Linked DNA regions of Saccharomyces cerevisiae S288C. The gene in region 2 interacts genetically with the main gene of each other region. Each region holds a gene or a part of one and is shown on either strand. Other genes may lie near its edges.

Region 1 (4,219 bases), 570 kb from region 2:
AACTAGTCCGGCATTCGGTAGAGTACTTCCCGATGGGAAATACGTCAAGATTCCCTTCACAAAAAAAAAGAACGGCGACAATGGTGAACTCAGCAAGAGATCGAACGGCCATGAAAAATTTGTACTAGCTAACGAGCAAAGCTTTTATTCTGTTGAGCTAGCCATTGGTACACCTTCACAAAACCTCACTGTGCTGTTAGACACAGGCTCAGCTGACTTATGGGTTCCTGGCAAGGGAAACCCCTACTGCGGTTCTGTGATGGACTGTGACCAGTATGGCGTGTTCGACAAGACCAAGTCGTCCACGTTCAAAGCCAACAAGTCCTCGCCTTTTTATGCCGCTTACGGTGACGGAACCTATGCAGAAGGTGCATTTGGTCAAGATAAATTAAAGTACAACGAATTAGACCTCAGTGGTCTATCGTTTGCCGTGGCCAACGAATCTAACTCAACCTTTGGTGTGCTCGGGATCGGCCTTTCCACGCTTGAAGTCACCTATTCTGGAAAAGTCGCTATTATGGACAAGAGAAGCTACGAGTATGATAACTTTCCCCTGTTCCTAAAACATTCTGGAGCCATCGATGCAACCGCATACTCTCTTTTCCTAAATGACGAGTCACAGTCCTCCGGCAGCATCCTCTTCGGCGCTGTAGATCACAGCAAGTACGAGGGCCAACTGTACACTATCCCGTTGGTTAATCTTTATAAGTCGCAGGGTTATCAGCACCCGGTGGCGTTCGATGTCACTTTACAGGGCTTAGGACTGCAAACCGACAAGCGCAACATCACATTGACCACCACCAAGCTCCCAGCCCTACTCGATTCAGGCACAACGCTAACATATCTGCCCTCCCAGGCAGTGGCTTTGCTAGCAAAGAGCTTGAATGCCTCGTATTCCAAGACATTGGGTTATTATGAGTACACGTGTCCCTCGAGCGACAACAAAACCAGCGTGGCCTTCGACTTCGGTGGCTTCCGTATCAACGCTCCTCTATCCGACTTTACTATGCAGACCAGTGTGGGGACCTGTGTCTTGGCAATAATTCCACAAGCGGGCAACGCCACCGCTATCCTTGGTGATTCCTTCTTGAGAAACGCCTACGTGGTCTACGATTTGGATAACTACGAGATTTCCCTAGCTCAAGCCAAGTATGGCACGGGGAAAGAGAACGTCGAAGTCATCAAATCTACCGTTCCCAGTGCAATAAGGGCCCCCAGTTACAACAACACTTGGTCTAACTACGCCTCCGCCACGTCCGGTGGTAATATTTTTACCACCGTGCGCACTTTCAATGGCACCAGTACTGCCACCACTACGAGGTCAACCACCACCAAGAAGACAAACTCTACCACTACTGCAAAGTCGACTCATAAAAGCAAGAGGGCACTCCAGAGGGCTGCTACCAACTCCGCTTCCAGTATACGCTCTACCTTGGGTTTACTGCTAGTCCCCTCCTTACTCATCCTTTCCGTTTTCTTTTCGTAAAAAAAAACAATAGACACTATATATAGACACTTTTTCCTTTCCTTCTTTGCGCGATTTCAAGAGGAAAAGCATACTTAAATAAGAATATTCCTAAAACACACGTTCTGACGCGTCAATTAGATCGTCAGACCTTGCATGCAGCCAAGACACCCTCACATAGCACTGCCTCCTTCCTCCTCTTTTCTGTCACCACCTCACCTCCCTCGTCCACTCAACTGAGTGGCTTTTCGCTCCTTTTATACTGCGCCATGAGTAGTTTTCGTTTCACTGATGTGTCCGAAAAAATTGAGGTTTCATAAAAAAATTCGTGGACTTATTTATGGAGAAACAGGGAAATCCGACTACTTAAGAAAAGGGTGTCAAAGAGGATTTACTTTTTTCCTTCTTTTTGCATTTGTTCCTATTTCCGCAATTGGACGGTTATTAAGAAGAACGCAATTGGCTTTTCTGTATATTAAAATACATAGCGTAATAAAAAGATAAGGTGAACACCAAGCATATAGTATAATATTACCTACCACATATGAAACTGAAAACTGTAAGATCTGCGGTCCTTTCGTCACTCTTTGCATCGCAGGTTCTCGGTAAGATAATACCAGCAGCAAACAAGCGCGACGACGACTCGAATTCCAAGTTCGTCAAGTTGCCCTTTCATAAGCTTTACGGGGACTCGCTAGAAAATGTGGGAAGCGACAAAAAACCGGAAGTACGCCTATTGAAGAGGGCTGACGGTTATGAAGAAATTATAATTACCAACCAGCAAAGTTTCTATTCGGTGGACTTGGAAGTGGGCACGCCACCACAGAACGTAACGGTCCTGGTGGACACAGGCTCCTCTGATCTATGGATTATGGGCTCGGATAATCCATACTGTTCTTCGAACAGTATGGGTAGTAGCCGGAGACGTGTTATTGACAAACGTGATGATTCGTCAAGCGGCGGATCTTTGATTAATGATATAAACCCATTTGGCTGGTTGACGGGAACGGGCAGTGCCATTGGCCCCACTGCTACGGGCTTAGGAGGCGGTTCAGGTACGGCAACTCAATCCGTGCCTGCTTCGGAAGCCACCATGGACTGTCAACAATACGGGACATTTTCCACTTCGGGCTCTTCTACATTTAGATCAAACAACACCTATTTCAGTATTAGCTACGGTGATGGGACTTTTGCCTCCGGTACTTTTGGTACGGATGTTTTGGATTTAAGCGACTTGAACGTTACCGGGTTGTCTTTTGCCGTTGCCAATGAAACGAATTCTACTATGGGTGTGTTAGGTATTGGTTTGCCCGAATTAGAAGTCACTTATTCTGGCTCTACTGCGTCTCATAGTGGAAAAGCTTATAAATACGACAACTTCCCCATTGTATTGAAAAATTCTGGTGCTATCAAAAGCAACACATATTCTTTGTATTTGAACGACTCGGACGCTATGCATGGCACCATTTTGTTCGGAGCCGTGGACCACAGTAAATATACCGGCACCTTATACACAATCCCCATCGTAAACACTCTGAGTGCTAGTGGATTTAGCTCTCCCATTCAATTTGATGTCACTATTAATGGTATCGGTATTAGTGATTCTGGGAGTAGTAACAAGACCTTGACTACCACTAAAATACCTGCTTTGTTGGATTCCGGTACTACTTTGACTTATTTACCTCAAACAGTGGTAAGTATGATCGCTACTGAACTAGGTGCGCAATACTCTTCCAGGATAGGGTATTACGTATTGGACTGTCCATCTGATGATAGTATGGAAATAGTGTTCGATTTTGGTGGTTTTCACATCAATGCACCACTTTCGAGTTTTATCTTGAGTACTGGCACTACATGTCTTTTAGGTATTATCCCAACGAGTGATGACACAGGTACCATTTTGGGTGATTCATTTTTGACTAACGCGTACGTGGTTTATGATTTGGAGAATCTTGAAATATCCATGGCACAAGCTCGCTATAATACCACAAGCGAAAATATCGAAATTATTACATCCTCTGTTCCAAGCGCCGTAAAGGCACCAGGCTATACAAACACTTGGTCCACAAGTGCATCTATTGTTACCGGTGGTAACATATTTACTGTAAATTCCTCACAAACTGCTTCCTTTAGCGGTAACCTGACGACCAGTACTGCATCCGCCACTTCTACATCAAGTAAAAGAAATGTTGGTGATCATATAGTTCCATCTTTACCCCTCACATTAATTTCTCTTCTTTTTGCATTCATCTGAAAACCGTTGCACAAAGTTTAGACATTCACATCTCCAAGCCAGTTGGAGTTTCTGGCGGAAATCGTTGCTCTCGCTTGGGCAAAGTTTTTTTTTATTATTAATTTTTTATTGTTACGTTGGCGGTCTTCATTTTTACTTCACAATAGTTTATCTTACCCACTAAGAATAGGTTACCATTTATTCACATTTTTTTTTCTCATTCCTAGTATACTATTTACCTGGGATATGGCCTATAATCAAAGGCTTTAATATTCTAATAATTCGTTTGGCATCTAGAATAATCTATAAAGTATAGTCTATATACGTACATATTGATAATGGCGGTAGCTGCTGAACTAGTATTTCAAATTACCTTGTTTATCCCAGGTCGCCAGTTTCTCTCTCCTCAAGTGATATTGTGTTCGTATGTCCAGATAATTTTTGATGAACTGATCCAGGTCATCGGCTGAGTCAATGGACCTTGTGGTAGTTTCTAGCTGTGAACTCTCCTCATCAAGTTT
Region 2 (3,321 bases):
TTTTTGTATAGTCTTTCGATGCTGGTAGCCAGCGACATTAGCTTGTTTAGGTCGGTCAACGCATTGTTAAAGAGAATGTCATTGTTCAAAAGCTGGTTTTCTCTAGATTTTTCCAAGCTTGATATGCCAATTCTGCTCAATTTAGTCTCAATAAATGGCACCTCATTGTTGTATTCGTGAGAACTAGCCCCTTTCCTCATGTCTACACCATTTACAGAAACCACATTCTGATTGAAAATATGCTTATTCTTTTCAGTGAGTATATTCTCCAAAGCCCTCTCTGTAGCTTGTGAAAACAATACGCCATCAGATTTGCGGAAACTCAATTGCACGAATTCTGTCGATGATCCTGTCGAGGACGAGGACGATAATGCCGAGTGCGAGCTCTTGTTTCTAGCCAGTGAATTTTTTTCTAGCTCAATATGGACCCTAGAATCATGAAAGTTTAGCCTGTTCAGCTTTGATCGTACTTTGGATGCATTAGGCAATCTGTGGCCGCAAATCTCGCAATTTCCTATTTGAGGATGATTAGCAAAAGTACAGGCGGGGCAAATGTTCTCAGAGTTCACTCCGAACTGATTCTGTGGGTTGGCGTTCGGGTCGATTGCATTAGAACAATTTATAGACGACTTGGTGAGCTCATAGTCCGCTGGCACACCGCAATTGATACAAATGGGTGTAGGTAGAGTGTCTTTAGTGAATTCCCCCTGCGTTTCGTTCGAAACCATACAGATGGGGCAGACCCACGTCGAAACAACGTCGGCACTTGCTGTTTCCGCACTTTTACCAAGTTCATCCTTACTGGAGGGGTCCTTGAAAAACAGGATCAGACGAGGTGATCTGGTCAAGAAGCCAGATGAATAGTTTACATACGCTAGATCGTCCAATTCCAACCCAAGCGAGTTCTGAGTGGGCTTTGCATCGTCGATGTAGATAATTCTTTGTGACGTTAAAAAGATTCTGCCCCTCTGTCGCTGTAGAATCTTAGATTTGCCATGGTAAAGACCTACGGACTGATCGATAAAGATATCTTTTTCACCTTCTCGAAGAAGAGGTTGGCCCGATGACGTAGTTTCCACATAATGCCAGTACTCCATCTTTTGAAAAAAAAAGAATGACTTTCAAAACACACTTCCTGATTCCTAGCCGAGGTCCCCTATTCTATCTTGGATGACCTTTTCTCTGCTTTTTTGTTTTTCAGTCTCCATCTTTTCCAGATGAAACATGTGAAACCCTTTTTCCTCTTCGTTGATCCTAAAAAAAGCGCGTCTGGAAAACAAGGCGAAGCTTCCTCACATGGAAAAGGCTTCTTAATATGTCGCTACGCCTCATTCCCATTGCATACAGAAAGCAAAGTAGTGCGTTTTGCGAACGTCACAGATCAAAAGTTTGGCCATGCATTGTCATTCTTTTTTTCTTACATACACTGCACCAGACATGTCGGTTCCGCCCCGCTAACGGTTAGTCAGCCACACATTGACGTACACTGTGAACAGCCTATTTCTTTCCATGTATCTCAGTGCCCAGCTTATGAGAACTGTCACAGCCTCCCACTTGACCCTCAGAGCCCTCTCCACTCCCCCCCTCTTTCAACATCGCCAGATAGCCGCCGTTGAATGGTGCGGGACAACCCGGCCTGGCCTGGCCAGGCAAAAAAGGACGCAGCACGCCTCGAGCGTTATTTCCAAATCGGGCGTACTATCAGCCAAGCCCAGCTCGGTATTTTTAGCGCTTCTCGCAGGAAAATTGGCTGAGAAGTATATATACGCGAGAATGTTGCTCTTCCATGTCTCAGTAGTCAATGAGTGTCCAGTGGTGTTTCATTCTGGACCAGTTGTTTGGAAGTAGAACTAAAAGAAACTAGATCAAGATCATACAACGCTGCGCAGTAGTGAAACTTGATTAAAGCAATAGAGAACTATTAAGAAAAAAACAAACACATCATCGAAGGACGCTATAAGCATGAGGAATTTTTTCACGTTATTTTTTGCAGCTATATTTTCGCTAGGAGCACTTATATTAGCCATTGTTGCATGCGCAGGATCAACGAAAAATTACAGTCCCATAAATAAAATTTACTGTGCAGAATTGGATCTGTCGCAGATGAAGGTATCGACGGTGCTCCCTTCTTTGAGTTCTGCTACGCTATCTTCGTTGGGCCTGCCCTCATATATAAATATAGGGCTTTGGTCGTACTGTACAGTGGACTCCTCGCATAACATCCAATCATGTTCTTCGCCTCACGGTATCCAGAATTTTAACCTATCGTCATTAGTGTATGACAATATCAACAACAATGAGGCTCTGGAGCTTATGGATTCCGTGGCCAGTGTTGTTTTGCCCGAAAAACTAAAAAGTAAAATGACATACTACAACAATTTGGTCAAGTGTATGTTCATTACCATTCTTATTGGTATTGTCTTGACCTTTGTGAATCTAGTGTTCAACGTATTGCGCTGGATCATCCACATAAGGCCGCTAACGTGGTTTGGTGCCTTTTTTTCATTTTTCGCCTTTGCCGCCCTATTAGTCAGTATAGGTTCGTGTTTGGGCACTTACTCATACATCAAATACATCCTAAAGCATAACTATAGTGATTACGGTATTTCAATGAGCATTGGTAGGAACTACCAGGGTTTGATGTGGGGGGCTGTCGTTGGAGCATTACTGAATTTCATTCTATGGTGTAGCGTGAGATCGAGGCCCACCGTCATCTATGCGAACGCTCCAATTGAGGAAAAACCATTGATTTGAATTTGAAAAAGGCAAGGTTATTAATTAATTTTTGTGTTCCGTTTCATATTAAATATGATTAAAATATATTGTCTATATACAATTCAGAAAATTATAATGAAGAAAATTAAAAGGATGGAGAATTGAAAAAATTTACGGGGTGATGTTGCATGATCTTCTTTTTATTATTTTACCTTGCAAAGTTTTTTTCAGCATCAATGGGGCTTTCGTGTTCTTCAATGATTCTTGAGGTAGTAGAGTCACTTTCTTGAACAGCTTTCTCAGCTTCCACGATGGCAGCTCCCTTTCTGCTGCTCCACCAGCAGTATGCAATGCAGAGAAATACAAGGACGGCAAATACAAATCCAGACCACATTAGGCCATAAAATGGAGAAGAGCCAGAAATAATGACATCGTAATTGTCCTTCTTGGAGCCGGATTTCATCATATTAAGGATGACGCTAAAGATTGTGCTTCCCAACCCGCTGAAAATACATATCCAACAGGAAATAAAGCCCAATGCCAACCATAATTTTTGACTCACCACGGAACGTCTACTTAGTAGCAACAAGAATACCATTAAGAAGA
Region 3 (4,248 bases), on a different chromosome or scaffold from region 2:
AACTAGCTTCCTCCACCAGTTCCATAAAAAAATGATGGATCAGTGCAAAAAAATTTTATCATAAATCTGATGAAGTATACTAAGCTGAATAAGCTGTAGGCCTTATTTGCTTTTTTCATACCCTTGGTTGGTACGACAGTAAAGATTGGCAGGTTCGGAGATACAACTTTTTTTGAGGCTTAGAATGCTCGGCCTGCATAAAATGGCGTTAAAGTTGCGCACAGGCCCCGGAAACCCTGCCAAGGAATATTACATAAGTTGCAACATCTTTTTCCAATACATGGTTAGAGAGTTTTTAATCGTTATACTTTTTTCTCATTTGATTAAAAAATATAAAATGAATTGCGAAATTCTTCTAGAAATGCGTTACTATTTTACGGTTGGCATTGCAAGATTATTATAACTACGAAGCAGTGTTGGAAAATATCATCTGGGAAGAAATTCCTATTTCTTGGGAAGAATTACATGTGCATAAAAAGATAAAACCCTCGATCACCCAAAATTGACTTTGCGACTAAAAAGTGATTTTTTCAGCATATTGCATTTCAAAAAGTCGTTGTTTAGCACAACTCATAGAAAATAAATACTAGTATGATTCGGGAATTATTTATCAGTTAATTATAGGAGTACAGCCTTTTATAGAGTTGGCGAAGATAGCCAAAAGATAAAAGCTTTGACGTACGTCTGTAAAAAGTGCCTTTTCTGATCGAATCCAGTTGCTCAGATATCCGGGAAGTTGTTAGCATTCATTGCTTTTCTGCACTATATCAGCATATGAATGCTTTCAGTATTTTAATTTTACCCTTTCACGAAGTACGCCAGAAAATGATTGGAAACGTACTCAAAAACAAAGCAGGAAATAAGCGACGAAAATTTTTCATTTCAATTAAGAGGTACTGAGCGGCTACTTAACTTTTTCTGCAGTAAGTAATGACAGAGTATCACTACAGAATTCTGTGCCTCCGGTCTGGGAATGCAGCTAGGGAGACAGCACCCTTTTGCTAATAATGCGCCGGAAATGAAACATTTAGATAAAATCTAAAGTTACGAAAACAATACACTTTGAGGGAAAGATATCAGAGAATTAAAAGCTGCAAAGAACTATGACAAATTAACCGCTTTGTTGACCCTAGATCATAGTTTACACTGCGAACGGGATAGTTGCAACCTCTTTTGTAAAATGCACCCATATCTCATTTTGCCTTTATTTCGGGTGTATAATAGGAGAAAAATTTGAATGGTAAAGAATAAGTCCCTTGCGAGTGTCAAGAGAAGCACAATTATTATTACTATTGGTGACGTGATTGAACTCGAGAATTTTCCTGGACCGATATTTGAGTTTTACGTGGAATGTGGGTGTACCTCATCTCAAAGAATTGGCGAAAAGCCAAACTTCTTAATTCTAACAAAAGCTACTGATTCGTTGGCGATGAAAGACTCTTTTTTTTGGCTGTCAGAAGCTTTCATCTTTGACATAGATGTACAGAATTTGATCAATTGTTTATATTAAAAGATTCGTCGCAACTTATATAAGGTGGCAAGAGAATGATTAACTTCAATTGCTGATGAACGTTCTCAATTCAAAAATTATAAGACACAAGGAAAACAATGTATTGGGTCCTCCTTTGTGGTTCTATTTTGTTATGCTGCTTGTCAGGAGCAAGCGCCTCCCCTGCTAAGACAAAAATGTACGGCAAGTTACCACTGGTTTTGACAGATGCCTGCATGGGAGTTCTCGGCGAAGTAACCTGGGAGTATAGTAGTGACGATTTATATTCCTCACCAGCATGTACATATGAACCGGCATTACAGTCAATGTTGTATTGTATTTACGAATCATTGAATGAAAAGGGTTATTCCAATAGAACCTTTGAAAAAACCTTTGCTGCTATCAAAGAAGACTGCGCATATTACACTGATAACCTTCAGAATATGACTAATGCAGATTTCTATAATATGCTGAATAATGGAACAACATACATAATACAGTATTCTGAAGGTAGCGCGAATCTTACGTATCCAATCGAGATGGATGCCCAAGTGAGAGAAAACTATTATTATTCTTACCATGGTTTCTACGCCAACTACGACATTGGTCATACTTATGGTGGTATTATTTGCGCCTATTTTGTAGGTGTTATGATTCTTGCCAGCATACTCCATTATCTAAGTTACACTCCGTTTAAAACTGCCTTATTTAAACAAAGACTTGTAAGATATGTGAGAAGATATTTGACAATACCTACTATCTGGGGTAAACATGCGTCGAGCTTTTCTTACCTTAAAATTTTTACAGGCTTCCTTCCCACACGATCTGAAGGCGTCATTATACTTGGATACCTCGTGCTTCATACAGTTTTTCTGGCATACGGGTATCAATATGATCCTTACAACTTAATTTTCGACTCTCGTAGAGAACAGATTGCTCGATACGTGGCAGATAGAAGTGGTGTCCTGGCATTTGCACATTTTCCCCTAATAGCTCTTTTCGCAGGAAGGAACAATTTTCTAGAATTCATTTCTGGAGTAAAATATACCTCTTTCATAATGTTTCATAAGTGGTTGGGAAGAATGATGTTTTTAGATGCTGTGATTCATGGCGCTGCTTATACCAGTTATTCCGTATTCTACAAAGATTGGGCAGCAAGCAAGGAAGAGACATATTGGCAATTTGGAGTAGCTGCTCTTTGTATAGTTGGTGTTATGGTGTTTTTTTCTTTGGCAATGTTCAGAAAGTTTTTCTATGAAGCCTTCTTATTTCTCCATATTGTGCTTGGCGCATTGTTCTTTTATACGTGTTGGGAGCACGTCGTAGAATTGAGTGGGATTGAGTGGATATACGCTGCTATTGCTATCTGGACTATTGATAGGCTAATTCGAATTGTTAGAGTATCTTATTTCGGTTTCCCTAAGGCTTCCTTACAGTTAGTTGGCGATGACATCATTCGAGTCACAGTCAAACGACCAGTAAGGCTATGGAAAGCCAAACCAGGACAGTATGTTTTCGTTTCATTCCTACACCACCTGTATTTTTGGCAGTCACATCCTTTCACAGTCTTAGATTCAATTATCAAAGATGGTGAGCTGACTATTATCCTGAAGGAAAAAAAGGGAGTAACAAAACTTGTCAAAAAGTATGTGTGTTGCAATGGAGGTAAGGCATCTATGAGACTAGCTATAGAAGGTCCATATGGCTCTTCATCTCCAGTCAATAATTATGATAACGTCTTGCTACTTACGGGAGGTACTGGTTTGCCAGGGCCCATTGCACACGCCATTAAACTTGGAAAAACGTCAGCGGCAACTGGAAAACAATTCATAAAATTAGTGATTGCAGTTAGAGGGTTTAACGTACTCGAGGCTTACAAGCCGGAGCTGATGTGTCTAGAAGATCTTAATGTACAGCTTCACATCTACAATACAATGGAAGTTCCGGCATTAACTCCTAATGATAGTTTGGAAATTTCTCAACAAGACGAGAAGGCCGATGGAAAAGGTGTTGTTATGGCAACTACCCTAGAACAGTCACCTAATCCAGTTGAATTTGATGGTACTGTTTTTCATCATGGAAGACCCAATGTTGAAAAGCTTCTGCATGAAGTTGGTGACCTAAATGGATCGTTAGCTGTGGTTTGTTGTGGGCCTCCTGTTTTCGTTGACGAAGTAAGGGATCAAACGGCAAATCTTGTTCTAGAGAAGCCTGCAAAGGCAATCGAATACTTTGAAGAATACCAAAGTTGGTAATCAATTACCTTATTTATTTCCTCACTATTTTACCTATCACAAGTATATATTTAATTGTTTTGACCTGAAACATAATTTATGTCTAGCTGCAATGAAGACAATTGATCGACTTTCACAAACTTTTTCAATCTACTAATCTTTGGAAGCATTTTTTAACTGTCTCCCACTCTTGTTCCATGACTTAAATTTCTCTTCCTCCAAATTAACTGAATTTTTTTTCTGGATTGATGTTCTTTCCAATTGTTGTGGTAATCCACAGCTGGTATAACATAAAAAGAAGTTTTTTGTAAAAAAAAAAAATTTCTCAGTAAGCATATAAGCCTCAGTGAAATAAAATTTTAACAACTACACGCTATTCTATTCCATTTGCCCTGCTTTTCTCGCTTCGTTATCACCTAACCACTAAGAACATACTAATAATACAAAATTTTTATCCACTTTTTACCAACAGATTTTCATGAAATATCCATCTTCTTTCCGAATTCTGTATAAAATGAAAGAGAG
Region 4 (3,927 bases), on a different chromosome or scaffold from region 2:
TTGTCGCAGTGTTGCAAACGTCTTGAAAGAATTGTAGGTGTTGTAAACCACAACTTGCTCCCTTGAAAGCGTTGCTGATTATTTCCTTTGAACCTGTTGCATTGTTGTATTGTTGTATTGCTGCTGATGTTTTAGGCACTTAGTATTAGATATTCCTAAGCCTCCCTCACCATAAATTACCTTTATTACTTGCATGACTATTATTAGCAGAGCATGTAGTATGGGACTCAAGACCGATATGATACACACCAAAGACGTAGGCACCGGCGATTAAATCAAAGGCTCCGATAGCCGAAAAGTGAGAAGAAAAAAAAAGGAAAAAAAGGAATTGTCCTAATGAGCGGTGTGGCCGACTTGCCATAATATCAGTTAGGGCTACTATCAATGTTTTATCTACGTTGGAGTAAGATCGTTTATCACTTCCATATTTGGACCAAATGAAAAGTTCAATCGGCCAAGTATTTCATGGATGGAATGACGTTTGGTAAGGAAGTGCTTTTTCTTTTTCCACATATTTTCCCTTTCTCTCGGGGAAATTTTGTTTCTAAACATAAAAAATAAAGCAACAGCAAAAAAGAGGGTCTGTCCAGCGAATAAGAAGAAAACCTCCTTTTCGGCTTTTGAAGATAGGTTGCAGTTGTCTGCGGGCACAAAATGGGCAATTTTTTTAATACTTTTTACGTATGAGACAAGATTTTTTTCGCCAATTATATCGCATGAAGAATAACCAGAGTTTTTCTCCGAACGTTAAGGGAGTTGAAGTAAAAATAAAGAAAGGACCAAATGAGAATGGGTATGCTTGGTCTTAGTCTTCGAATCAAATTCTGCTTCCCTGTTCATGGCAACGTCACCTCAATTATTTGGAAAGGGGGGGTTTTCCGACTTTATTTGAGATGACTTGAGATGTGTGTCAATGCTAGTATTTTGGAGATTAATCTCAGTACAAAACAATATTAAAAAGAGGTGAATTATTTTTCCCCCCTTATTTTTTTTTTGTTAGAATTGATCCAAATGTAAATAAACAATCACAAGGAAAAAAAAAAAAAAAAAAAAAATAGCCGCCATGACCCCGGATCGTCGGTTGTGATACGGTCAGGGTAGCGCCCTGGTCAAACTTCAGAACTAAAAAAATAATAAGGAAGAAAAAAATAGCTAATTTTTCCGGCAGAAAGATTTTCGCTACCCGAAAGTTTTTCCGGCAAGCTAAATGGAAAAAGGAAAGATTATTGAAAGAGAAAGAAAGAAAAAAAAAAAATGTACACCCAGACATCGGGCTTCCACAATTTCGGCTCTATTGTTTTCCATCTCTCGCAACGGCGGGATTCCTCTATGGCGTGTGATGTCTGTATCTGTTACTTAATCCAGAAACTGGCACTTGACCCAACTCTGCCACGTGGGTCGTTTTGCCATCGACAGATTGGGAGATTTTCATAGTAGAATTCAGCATGATAGCTACGTAAATGTGTTCCGCACCGTCACAAAGTGTTTTCTACTGTTCTTTCTTCTTTCGTTCATTCAGTTGAGTTGAGTGAGTGCTTTGTTCAATGGATCTTAGCTAAAATGCATATTTTTTCTCTTGGTAAATGAATGCTTGTGATGTCTTCCAAGTGATTTCCTTTCCTTCCCATATGATGCTAGGTACCTTTAGTGTCTTCCTAAAAAAAAAAAAAGGCTCGCCATCAAAACGATATTCGTTGGCTTTTTTTTCTGAATTATAAATACTCTTTGGTAACTTTTCATTTCCAAGAACCTCTTTTTTCCAGTTATATCATGGTCCCCTTTCAAAGTTATTCTCTACTCTTTTTCATATTCATTCTTTTTCATCCTTTGGTTTTTTATTCTTAACTTGTTTATTATTCTCTCTTGTTTCTATTTACAAGACACCAATCAAAACAAATAAAACATCATCACAATGTCTAGATTAGAAAGATTGACCTCATTAAACGTTGTTGCTGGTTCTGACTTGAGAAGAACCTCCATCATTGGTACCATCGGTCCAAAGACCAACAACCCAGAAACCTTGGTTGCTTTGAGAAAGGCTGGTTTGAACATTGTCCGTATGAACTTCTCTCACGGTTCTTACGAATACCACAAGTCTGTCATTGACAACGCCAGAAAGTCCGAAGAATTGTACCCAGGTAGACCATTGGCCATTGCTTTGGACACCAAGGGTCCAGAAATCAGAACTGGTACCACCACCAACGATGTTGACTACCCAATCCCACCAAACCACGAAATGATCTTCACCACCGATGACAAGTACGCTAAGGCTTGTGACGACAAGATCATGTACGTTGACTACAAGAACATCACCAAGGTCATCTCCGCTGGTAGAATCATCTACGTTGATGATGGTGTTTTGTCTTTCCAAGTTTTGGAAGTCGTTGACGACAAGACTTTGAAGGTCAAGGCTTTGAACGCCGGTAAGATCTGTTCCCACAAGGGTGTCAACTTACCAGGTACCGATGTCGATTTGCCAGCTTTGTCTGAAAAGGACAAGGAAGATTTGAGATTCGGTGTCAAGAACGGTGTCCACATGGTCTTCGCTTCTTTCATCAGAACCGCCAACGATGTTTTGACCATCAGAGAAGTCTTGGGTGAACAAGGTAAGGACGTCAAGATCATTGTCAAGATTGAAAACCAACAAGGTGTTAACAACTTCGACGAAATCTTGAAGGTCACTGACGGTGTTATGGTTGCCAGAGGTGACTTGGGTATTGAAATCCCAGCCCCAGAAGTCTTGGCTGTCCAAAAGAAATTGATTGCTAAGTCTAACTTGGCTGGTAAGCCAGTTATCTGTGCTACCCAAATGTTGGAATCCATGACTTACAACCCAAGACCAACCAGAGCTGAAGTTTCCGATGTCGGTAACGCTATCTTGGATGGTGCTGACTGTGTTATGTTGTCTGGTGAAACCGCCAAGGGTAACTACCCAATCAACGCCGTTACCACTATGGCTGAAACCGCTGTCATTGCTGAACAAGCTATCGCTTACTTGCCAAACTACGATGACATGAGAAACTGTACTCCAAAGCCAACCTCCACCACCGAAACCGTCGCTGCCTCCGCTGTCGCTGCTGTTTTCGAACAAAAGGCCAAGGCTATCATTGTCTTGTCCACTTCCGGTACCACCCCAAGATTGGTTTCCAAGTACAGACCAAACTGTCCAATCATCTTGGTTACCAGATGCCCAAGAGCTGCTAGATTCTCTCACTTGTACAGAGGTGTCTTCCCATTCGTTTTCGAAAAGGAACCTGTCTCTGACTGGACTGATGATGTTGAAGCCCGTATCAACTTCGGTATTGAAAAGGCTAAGGAATTCGGTATCTTGAAGAAGGGTGACACTTACGTTTCCATCCAAGGTTTCAAGGCCGGTGCTGGTCACTCCAACACTTTGCAAGTCTCTACCGTTTAAAAAAAGAATCATGATTGAATGAAGATATTATTTTTTTGAATTATATTTTTTAAATTTTATATAAAGACATGGTTTTTCTTTTCAACTCAAATAAAGATTTATAAGTTACTTAAATAACATACATTTTATAAGGTATTCTATAAAAAGAGTATTATGTTATTGTTAACCTTTTTGTCTCCAATTGTCGTCATAACGATGAGGTGTTGCATTTTTGGAAACGAGATTGACATAGAGTCAAAATTTGCTAAATTTGATCCCTCCCATCGCAAGATAATCTTCCCTCAAGGTTATCATGATTATCAGGATGGCGAAAGGATACGCTAAAAATTCAATAAAAAATTCAATATAATTTTCGTTTCCCAAGAACTAACTTGGAAGGTTATACATGGGTACATAAATGCAGATGCCAGTGAACTATGTTCAGCTTCTGGCCTTCGTTTGGTGGTTTAATCTATTTTTTATAAAAAATGACGCGGGCAGATTCAATTAGTGTCCTAAATTTATTCGCGTTT

What was found.
Region 1: mutations in PUN1 (region 2) and YPS1 together harm fitness more than expected from each alone (negative genetic interaction), as found in Saccharomyces cerevisiae (one large-scale study listed by BioGRID).
Region 3: mutations in PUN1 (region 2) and FRE3 together harm fitness more than expected from each alone (negative genetic interaction), as found in Saccharomyces cerevisiae (one large-scale study listed by BioGRID).
Region 4: mutations in PUN1 (region 2) and CDC19 together harm fitness more than expected from each alone (negative genetic interaction), as found in Saccharomyces cerevisiae (one large-scale study listed by BioGRID).

The regions. Positions count from the first base shown.
Region 1 is NC_001144.5:386,011-390,229, reverse strand, and holds YPS1 (aspartyl protease), read left to right. Parts: upstream 1-2,009; coding exon 2,010-3,719; downstream 3,720-4,219. Other genes in the region: YPS3 (aspartyl protease), read left to right, coding at 1-1,486; ESCRT-I subunit protein SRN2, read right to left, coding at 4,055-4,219. UniProt on the Saccharomyces cerevisiae protein: Cleaves proteins C-terminally to mono- and paired-basic residues. Involved in the shedding of a subset of GPI-anchored plasma membrane proteins from the cell surface, including itself, GAS1 and MSB2.
Region 2 is NC_001144.5:952,786-956,106, reverse strand, and holds PUN1 (Pun1p), read left to right. Parts: upstream 1-1,962; coding exon 1,963-2,754; downstream 2,755-3,321. Other genes in the region: ESCRT-II subunit protein VPS36, read right to left, coding at 1-1,097; YLR415C (uncharacterized protein), read left to right, coding at 1,510-1,848; INA1 (Ina1p), read right to left, coding at 2,924-3,321. UniProt on the Saccharomyces cerevisiae protein: Contributes to the wild-type cellular response to nitrogen stress through signaling pathways that regulate the expression of genes involved in amino acid biosynthesis. Required for wild-type filamentous growth, cell growth, and cell-cell adhesion.
Region 3 is NC_001147.6:1,053,937-1,058,184, forward strand, and holds FRE3 (ferric-chelate reductase), read left to right. Parts: upstream 1-1,608; coding exon 1,609-3,744; downstream 3,745-4,248. UniProt on the Saccharomyces cerevisiae protein: Siderophore-iron reductase responsible for reducing extracellular iron prior to import. Catalyzes the reductive uptake of Fe(3+) bound to di- and trihydroxamate siderophores.
Region 4 is NC_001133.9:69,874-73,800, forward strand, and holds CDC19 (pyruvate kinase CDC19), read left to right. Parts: upstream 1-1,912; coding exon 1,913-3,415; downstream 3,416-3,927. Other genes in the region: YAL037C-A (uncharacterized protein), read right to left, coding at 3,553-3,645.